3 linked regions of the Yarrowia lipolytica genome follow. Each later gene encodes a partner of the first gene's protein in a complex. Links are inferred from orthologs where the notes say so. Each region holds a gene or a part of one and is shown in the gene's direction. Other genes may lie near its edges. The genes, in order: YALI1_D06380g, YALI1_F29192g and YALI1_F32312g.

Evidence for each region.
Region 2: YALI1_D06380g (region 1) and YALI1_F29192g share a complex: the UniProt entries of both Saccharomyces cerevisiae proteins name them as parts of the 2-(3-amino-3-carboxypropyl)histidine synthase complex. The link is inferred for Yarrowia lipolytica from reciprocal best matches to the Saccharomyces cerevisiae genes CBR1 and DPH1.
Region 3: YALI1_D06380g (region 1) and YALI1_F32312g share a complex: the UniProt entries of both Saccharomyces cerevisiae proteins name them as parts of the 2-(3-amino-3-carboxypropyl)histidine synthase complex. The link is inferred for Yarrowia lipolytica from reciprocal best matches to the Saccharomyces cerevisiae genes CBR1 and KTI11.

The regions. Positions count from the first base shown.
Region 1 is NC_090773.1:636,544-639,591, reverse strand, and holds YALI1_D06380g (uncharacterized protein), read left to right. Parts: upstream 1-1,531; coding exon 1,532-2,404; downstream 2,405-3,048. UniProt on the Saccharomyces cerevisiae protein: NADH-dependent reductase for KTI11/DPH3 and cytochrome b5. Required for the first step of diphthamide biosynthesis, a post-translational modification of histidine which occurs in elongation factor 2.
Region 2 is NC_090775.1:2,917,334-2,921,139, reverse strand, and holds YALI1_F29192g (uncharacterized protein), read left to right. Parts: upstream 1-1,845; coding exon 1,846-3,165; downstream 3,166-3,806. Other genes in the region: YALI1_F29196g (uncharacterized protein), read right to left, coding at 1-1,459. UniProt on the Saccharomyces cerevisiae protein: Catalyzes the first step of diphthamide biosynthesis, a post-translational modification of histidine which occurs in elongation factor 2.
Region 3 is NC_090775.1:3,229,275-3,231,934, forward strand, and holds YALI1_F32312g (uncharacterized protein), read left to right. Parts: upstream 1-1,931; coding exon 1,932-2,141; downstream 2,142-2,660. Other genes in the region: YALI1_F32305g (40S ribosomal protein eS8), read right to left, coding at 683-1,279. UniProt on the Saccharomyces cerevisiae protein: Required for the first step of diphthamide biosynthesis, a post-translational modification of histidine which occurs in elongation factor 2.

The DNA.
Region 1 (3,048 bases):
ACTGTACACCCCAAAGCAGCTGAAGATGGACTGAAAAGACCGAAGGATCCAATGGAAGCAATCACTTTGACATTTCTGATTCTATCTAGTCACGTGACAACGACAACAACTTGAGGGAGAGGTTGTACCATGTCATCATAGTGTTGTAAACATCATCTATAGCGCAATTGAAGACCCAGGGGTGACTTGAGATTCCAAAAGTGTATCAAAAGAGGACTTTCAATAGTTTGAAATCGTTCACCTGTTGTATATCTAGAGACACACCCACACCAACCCCAAGTCTGTCCTCAATACTGACTCTGGAAACAGAACATCCAAAACACTTCAAAAGTACAGGTGAAGTGACCAATATGAAACTACCGGGAATATAAACCGTTTCTTAAATGTTCAAGTTCATCAATAAGCCAGATAATCTCAAGACACGAGTCAATATCGACTCTTTTTGACTCACAATGTATGTACGCCGCACTATCCGATCGAAAACACACTTCTGATAACAACATCAACAAGCCAAAAGTGTTAGAATAATCGCAAAAGAATCCACCGTGTACAGCACAAGTGCACGGGTTTCGATCCTGACTCATCAGGATTTCACAGCAACATCTACACTTTCAAACCAAGGTTCACCTAGCCCAATCTGGATCCCCTCCAACTTGTTCATTTTTGCTCGAATCGCTTCAAAATTCGAGCAGTTGACTGTGGGTGTCACAATTAGTTATCTCCCTTACTTTCCGCCATGTTTCTCTCCTATATTATCTTCAAAAATCGCCCTCTTCAGATTTGCTACCATCTCATGATAGCGGCACTTTATACACCATTAGGTTATTCACCAAATGAGAGCAGTGAGTGACAGATGCGAGAAAAGCCAGTCTGACTCATAACCTGGCTCACTCATATCACACACTTGCTCAGCAACTGACTCAGGTCAGGGCCAGGTATACATTGCTTCCCTCCTCTCGCTGACTAATCCATCTCATGCAGCTGCATTCCGCAACTAACCACTTTTTCAACTCACCTAAAGCTAGCTTCCCCAACGGTTCCAGTTAGCATATCTTTTGTTGACCCGATAATGCACAGGTCACGTGACAGACACCTGACCGTCCGCGCTCGTCCAATTGTTGCCTCTTTTGGCATGTGGGACTTGGTGTGGAGCGTGTGGAACATGTTCCTAGAGGAACCAGACAAAGATGAGATCTCACACAGTTCTCTTTGTCACATGTCATGCGATTTTCCACACCATAAAAAAAAAGTGTGTGAAATGTGGGGACAAACTCAACGTGGACTGAGGGTGCTATACTTAGATGGCTAACAATGGGAGACAAGTAATGGTGGAGTACCAGAGAGATTTTTGCCGATTATGTAAAAAAAAAAGGAATTGACTCATTTGCTGTTGATGTAATACTGCCTGGTTTCTGACTCACCCGACTGTAGACCTTCTATTCTGACCCGGTATCCATTTATCACATTCTACTACAAAACTTTATCCATAACGTGCGTGTCACTATATTAAACGCCTATTTCCATCACCATCATGCGCTCCTCTTCTTCACGACAACCTCAAATGCAGTCCTATTACGCCATCGCCACCGTGTGGGCGCTCATCATTGGCGCCGCCACCTACTACTTCTTCTCCAACTCCAAGCCCAAGGCTGTCTTGCAGCGAGGAGATACGGCCTTCAAGGAGTTCCCTCTCATCCAGAAGACGGTGCTCTCTCACAATTCGGCCATCTATCGATTTGGCCTGCCCCGACCCTCCCACGTGCTGGGTCTGCCCATCGGACAGCACGTGTCGCTTTCTGCCAACATTGGAGGCAAGGAGGTGCTGCGTTCCTACACCCCCACCTCGTCCGACCTGTACGACAAGGGCTACTTCGACATTCTCATCAAGACCTACCCCCAGGGAAACATCTCCAAGTACGTGTCTGAGCTGGCCATTGGTGACACTATGAAGGTGCGGGGCCCCAAGGGCAACTTTGTCTACAACCACGGCCTGGTCGAGTCCTTCGGCATGGTTTGTGGAGGAACCGGCATCACCCCCATGTACCAGATTCTGCGACACATTGCCGCCGATCCCGCCGACAACACCAAGGTTAACCTCGTCTACGCCAACGTGAACCACGACGACATTCTGCTCAAGAAGGAGCTGGACGCCATTGCCGCCGAGAACGACAACATCAAGATCCACTACGTGCTCAACAACGCTCCCGAGGACTGGACCGGTTCCGTGGGCTTTGTCACCAAGGAGATTCTCGAGAAGCACTGCCCCCCTCCTGGCCCCAACACCAAGCTGCTTCTGTGTGGCCCCCCTCCCATGATCTCTGCTCTCAAGAAGGCTTCCGTCGAGCTCGGATACGAGAAGGCCCGACCTGTCAGCAAACTTGAGGATCAGGTCTTTGCCTTTTAAACACAGCTGAGCGACAAAAGAGTTGCCTGCAAACTAGACTCAAGTCATAGATAATGAATTACGTTGAATGCTAGAGAAGGCGGTATTAACAGAGCGAGACTGGCTGTATATCAGAATCTGGCAGTTTTGGAGGTTGTTGAGACAGCCCTATATAGTCTAGACGACATCTGTCTACAGTACAGCTAGCTGTATCAAAGTACTTACGATAGATACGAGTAGTAGTTTCCCCAGACGATGCGATCATTAGCCTTGCTGATTAAAGCTGAACCATCACGTATTATTGACACTATATCAATTTACTTCAACATTTACAGAGCTAGTTAACAAAGTACTTACATTAGCTCAGTAATTACTGAGTTCACCCACACTTATTAAGTAAATAATTAACAAAGCTTCAAGGCTCGTGGATACAGACACTTCAATGCCCATACCTAGTGCAAACACATAGCAACCACCATTGGTAACAGTATCGCTCCGTAGTCTGGGGCCAGATACAGAAGGCATCTATAATTTCAGCCTTATACTCACTTGTATTGGAAGGAATGTGAGAGTCATCATCATCAGCTTACATACACAGTACACACATCGTCGACTGGCATTGAACATCACATACAGTGTGAGTACTGTACCGGTATTTGTGCACA
Region 2 (3,806 bases), on another chromosome or scaffold:
CATCCTTCCAGATCTCAAGAACCAGTCCGAAACTTCGCACCAGGGGATACGTGAGCGCACGTCTACTGCTCGCAATCACAGCTTCAGAGACGGTGTAGAAAGAATCATCCAAAGAGGCAAACTGAGGAGTCAACTTACCAATCGTCCATGGGGATTCGACAGTATGATCGTTGAATGTGGTTCGAATGTCGTAAAAGAAGGAGAACAGAAGGTTTAACAGTCCAATGTAGGCCTTTTTAGGATCGGAAATGTTCTTGTACGCTGATTTCGACCGAGATTTTGACATAATCTCGCTCAGAACACGATTCTCTTCGCCTGACAATAACATGTCGCTCTTGTTCTCTTTCCAAAATTCCTTAGGAAGCTCGTAATGAAGATACTCGGGGACCATATCGTTCTCAAGCAGATCGGATAGATAGTAGCCTGGGTTAAAACGTGACTGTTCAATGTCTGTTCTCAGCTCCTTTCTAGCCTCCTCGTCGACTCCGTTCATCTCAGGATCAACGATCTCGTTAACATCGTTACCCTTAGCCACACTGACACCCACAGCACCGTTGTATCCTCCCTGCCAGCCGTATCGAACGTGGCTGTCTTCACCCAGCTTCGGGATTTCCTGTTTGATCTCCCAGTCAAATGCATCAGCCTCCTGGAGCTCTGTAGGCTCAGTCTCGTTGTCATTTCCATCCAGCTCCTCAATGACAGTTTTTCGAAGATCGTCCATCACTTGGGTCTCATTCTGACGAGCCAGAAGCTTTCCAATCATATCAATGTCCTTCCACATACCAGATTCCTCCTTGGGGATTCGACATTTGATGGTAGAGCTTCCCAGATCGTATGTAGCAGTAGCCTTGGTCACCTTTGGACGCCTCTTGATGTCGATTTTAGTGACAGCCTCGTCGCCGTCCGTCTTCTCGGTGATGTCCTCAATTAGCAGCCCTCCACCGCCAACTTCCTCAACCAGAGGCTTGACCTTGACCTGCTCCACCTCCTCAACTAGAGGCTGAGAGGTGTTCTCTTCCAGAAGGAACTTGCTGGGCCGAACCTCTTCCACCAAAGTCGACGTGGCCATCTCGTCGTAGTTTCGCTTCTTGGCGTTAGGTTCCGATTCCTTCTTAGTCTCTGTGATCTCTTCTATCAGAGGCTTGGTCGACACCTCTTCAATCAGAGTAGCCTCCTTCTTGTCGGTCGAATTGTCGTCTGATTTCGGATCACCTGGACCCAATGTTTTTTTATCGAGATTGGCATCGCTGATCTGCTTCTTTACCATCTCTACCTCCTCCTCATCTTCGTCCAAAAGTCGACCAGGAAATCGCAACCGCAGATAATAGGGTGCTAACGAGAACACGAAGAGCTCGCCATCCACCACAATCTCGATGTTGGCGACACGAATATGGGGTGCCTTGATGTTCACGAACACAAAGTCCTCGTCCTGATCCACAGTAAAGTCGGGAGTGATCATTGTGTGCCGCCTTGATGAAGAGGAAACAAAAAATTATTTTTATGCATCTCTTGCATATCATCGTAACTTTGTTTAGAGCACGCCTCAGACAGTCCAAGCCTCGTCAGAAAGCAAAGTTTAATTTTGCCACTGGGGTAGAGAAGTCGGTGAAAAGAGCACCTAAGACACGAGGCGGTCCTAAAATCACTCCAACGACTTCATGACTCAGATAAACGTAGTGATCTGCTTCAAAAGCCTTGCTCATCAAATCCGTAGAAAGCAATTTCGGCAGAAACACCCTGTAGTGGGTTCGATTCCCAGCAATGCATCCCTAATCACCCAACCTAAATAAATTTTCAGCATGCATAAAATCGTCCCTGTGTAACTTATCATCGAATCCCTCAGAAATGTCGTGTTCAGCATCTGGTGAGTGTAAGAGTACGACTGCCACCCCGGTAGCTCCCTGTGACCCCGATACATGCAAAAAATCAACTTCCACACAGCCCCGAAAGCGTTTTGTGGGCCGTGCTAACGGCTCAGGGCCCTCTGCATCCACTTCTCTCGTCAAGAACACCACCAGACGTCCACGAATCATTAACCAGATTCCCGACGAGATTCTGAACGATGAGGAGCTCAATGAAGTGATTGCAACGACGCTGCCCAAAAACTACAACTTTGAGATCCACAAGAGTATTTGGCACATCCGAAAGAACAACTGCAAGAAGATTGCCCTTCAGATGCCCGAGGGTCTTCTCATTTACGCCTGCATCATTTCCGATATTATTGAGCAGTTCTGTGGACCCGATATTAGTACAGTTGTCATGGGAGATGTGACTTATGGTGCATGCTGCGTTGATGACTTCTCAGCTATCGCCCTGGGATGTGACTTCCTGATTCATTATGCACACTCCTGTCTGGTTCCCATCGACTCCATCAAAATCAAGGTCCTTTATGTCTTTGTCACCATCGAGATTGATACTGACCATGTCGTTAAGTCGTTCAAGAAGAATTTCGAGACTGGAACTCGCATGGCCATGGTGGGAACCATCCAGTTCAACCCTACCATCCACACACTCAAGGATCGACTCCTAAACGAAGCTGGAATCGTATGCACTGCTCCTCAGATCATGCCTCTGTCGAAAGGTGAGGTTCTGGGATGCACTTCTGCAAACATGTCTACTGAAGATTACGATATGATTATGTACATCGGAGACGGACGGTTCCATCTCGAGTCAGCCATGATCCACAACCCCGACATACCTGCATACAGATACGATCCCTACTCAAGAAAGCTCACTAGGGAGTACTTTGACCAGGTTGAGATGGTCAGCGTGCGAAAACGCGCCATCCAGACAGCCAAGAACGCCAAGACCATAGGACTCATTCTGGGGACCCTGGGACGACAGGGAAACACTGCTACTCTGGATATGCTGCAGGAGAAGCTCAACTCTAAGGGCTATGAGACACACATTGTTCTTCTGAGTGAGATCTTCCCAGCTAAGCTGGCCTTATTCGACGGTGTTGACGCGTGGGTGCAGGTTGCGTGCCCCCGTCTTTCTATTGATTGGGGCTACGCATTCCCTAAACCTCTGCTGACTCCCTACGAGGCGATGGTTATGATGGACGAGGACACTTTAGAGGGTAACGACTACCCCATGGATTACTATGGAAAGGAGGGATATGGACGAGGTAAGCAGCCTCGAGCAAAGAAGGAGATTGCCATTTAGAGAGGAGCAATTGGGGGTTTGACACAGCCGATGGTATCAGTGTGTCTATATAAAAGTAACAGGTGTATATATATATTAGGTAAGCCGAGGGGAGAGGTATTCTAGAATTACAGTAGATGTTATGCACACGGCGCGACCATTTCGGCCTACGTCGTACTTACAGTATATTGGATACGTGGTACCAGAAAGCGTATTACAGTAGTACCAGAGGGAATATTTCACACAATCAATTTGCAGTTTCTTAAATGCGTCACAACCAAAATCGAACCCACGTGTAGACGCAATCAGGCCTTATCGGTTCTACACCACGTCGACGTGCAGCGCTAATTTGTCCATCCCTTGTGCCTTGGAGGGTGCGTTTTTCTTACACCCCATTAGAATAAAAACAACAACATAACAGCTGAGATAAACAGATGAGACGATATTCCCCCAGCGGTCTCCTCATTTTGTCTCGCAAGTCATTTCGTAAAAGTACCATGTCAATGTAGGGTAACAGGTCATCGGAGTTTACCGCACTTCTGAAAGGTATATTAATGCAGCATCATTGTTCATTGTTATCGATAACGAGTGGACAATGAGACAGAGTATATTTTGGGGGCTGTCTTGGGGCTATTGATGGGTGTCTGAGAAAATTCCTCGGG
Region 3 (2,660 bases), on another chromosome or scaffold:
CTACCATAAGAGGTGCATGCCACCCAGTTCTCGAAACAAGTACCATACTGCATGTTGATTCGTATTCGCTGCCTACAATTCTGATCATAAGTGCTCCGAGAGAATAATATTTGTTCAATTGTCGCCTCGAGCCACGCCTGTGTTCTACAGTACGAGTATTGCAGCTTGTGTCTGACTAACTGTATTATCAGAAGACAGTTAAGGACAACACAATTCACTCAGGAGCAAGTTGGGACAGCACAAAGCCTCTTCTTGTAGCTACAATATATACAGTAATTACGACACCGTAGGGGCGTCCATGCACCTGAACAAATTAATATAGAGATAAATCTGCAAAGCGCTATTACACAGATCGTCAAGACCTCCAAGAGAGTGTGCCAAAGAGTCATATAGGAAAGGTCGTTTTGCCTCCATTTGCGACAAGTTGTGTAGCCCACCGGACAGTTGATTTGAAATATTTTCACCCAGTAAACACGGTCACGAAGAACTCACCAAATGATGATTCTAAACCAAGACCAAACCAACTAATTCCCATTATCACAAAACCTTTCCGTAGATACCCCAACCAATACACAGGCGACAGACAACAACAAGTACTACTATCTACAACGTACAAACACCTGCGGTATTTGAACCCATCTCAGTTCATTTTCACGTGCAATAATACATTTTAGTTTTGTGTCTACTTCTTGGAGACAATCTTCTTGAGGTAGAAAGCAAGCTCCTCTCCCTCGAGAACGTAACCGTCAACTCGGCCGGACTGACCGGGTCGAGAAGAAACGCAGGCGTAGAGTCGGCCAGCACCGAACTGAGCCTCGACGGCAGGGTCGAGCTTGGCATCAGCCTGTCGGGCAGCAACGGCAGCCTGGTCAGCCTCAGCAATGACGGGCTCCTCCTGGCCAGCCTTCTTCTTGCCGAGAGACTTGCCGTAGTAGGACTCGTACCACTGTCGGAAAGGAGTGGCATCAATCTGGACAATGGCAGACTTGGTCAGAGTGTTGGTTCGGATAAGCTCGTTGTTGGAGGGGTGGAAAGAGACACCGAGGACTCGGGTCTTTCGGGTGGTTCCCTCAGAGCCCCAGGAGAAGTTGCCGGTCTCGATTCGGATGGCTCGGAACTTCTTGTTACCACCACGGGTTCGGACGGTGTGGATTCGCTTGGGGCCGATTCGGGTGACGGCACCCTGTCGACCGCACTCGAACTTTCGCTTCTTGTGGATGGAGACACGCTTGGCGCCGGTGTGGGATCGCTTGTGTCGGGAGTCTCGAGAAATACCCATGGTTGTCGTGGAGTGCTGAGAATTGGTGGGAGGTTTGATTTTTTGTCAGAGGTGGGAGCAGAGTTTCCGAGTTTCCTTTTCAGAAAGCAGTCACAAAGTCACGTGTGACTCAGAGTTAATTTGGACGTTTGAGTATTAGGGTTCAAATTGTCGTGTGTTCGAATCTGGGAGACGGCGCACTTAATAGGTGAAATTGGATGAGCAGATGTTTTTAAAACGACGTGAGGGCATCCGTGGTTCGATGCTATGTACACACTACAAATACGTCAACACACAAATAACAGCCGTCTCCACCACTAGACGTCGATGATTCTATGATCGTCGCCCCCCACCCCTTGACACCACCACATCCTCGTTGGTTTCCTTTTTTTCGTCTCTATAAACCTGCCAGGCCCCAAAATCATGTACATAAATACTCAAAATATCAATCTATCTACCCACCACTACTACTTATTTGTACCGTCTTATATCTCAACTATCTAATATATCTGATCGATCTAATACCTTCCGCGAGTATCTCATCTCGTAGTAAGCCCCCTATAACCCTAACCCAACACCCTCTTTACGTGTAATCGTGCTTCTGACATGCGCAATTTGAAATTTTCGAACAGATGTCTTCAGCTACCCCTGTGGCGTTCGTTACTTGCACCCCATGTCTTTCTACGACGAAATCGAAATCGAAGACATGATCTTCGACGCGGATCAGGGTATCTTAACGTATCCTTGTCCGTGTGGCGACAAGTTCCAGATTGCCCTGGACGACCTCAAGGATGGCGAAGAGGTAGCCGTCTGTCCCTCGTGCAGTCTCATGATCAAGGTCATTTTCGACCCCGAGGACCTTGAGCAGTTTGAAGAATCGTGACGAAGAGGTGCTCTATAGCACTAGTCAAAATTCAGATTATGACTGGAAACTGTCATACACGACACCCTCACTATGAACTGTTCTGTCACGACTTCTACGACATATGTCATGGGCCCCCTCCACACACTCTCAAACACACACACACACACACACACACACACACACATACATTCAGGTCACGCGGACTACTCACATATCCGTGTGACAAGGTAAGAAGCAATCGTTGTGTCTTGGTCCACATATCTATTTATTCACTAATGGAAAAAGAAGCAAACATGCAACTCTAGTTAGCACGGCGTCCATGTATTTATCTGTATTTGTTCCTCACACTCGATTGGGAATAGCTACAAGTACTCGTCTTATAGTTGAATTCACGCGACCGTAAGGTTGAAGAAGAAAATAGGATGGATAGGACGATGACATCACTTTACTTGTTCCCTTGCCATGCTGGCAGCTGTATAGTAAGCGCCACTAGGTGTCTGTGTCTATCAGCTACCTAGATCTTCCTTGCTTATAGAA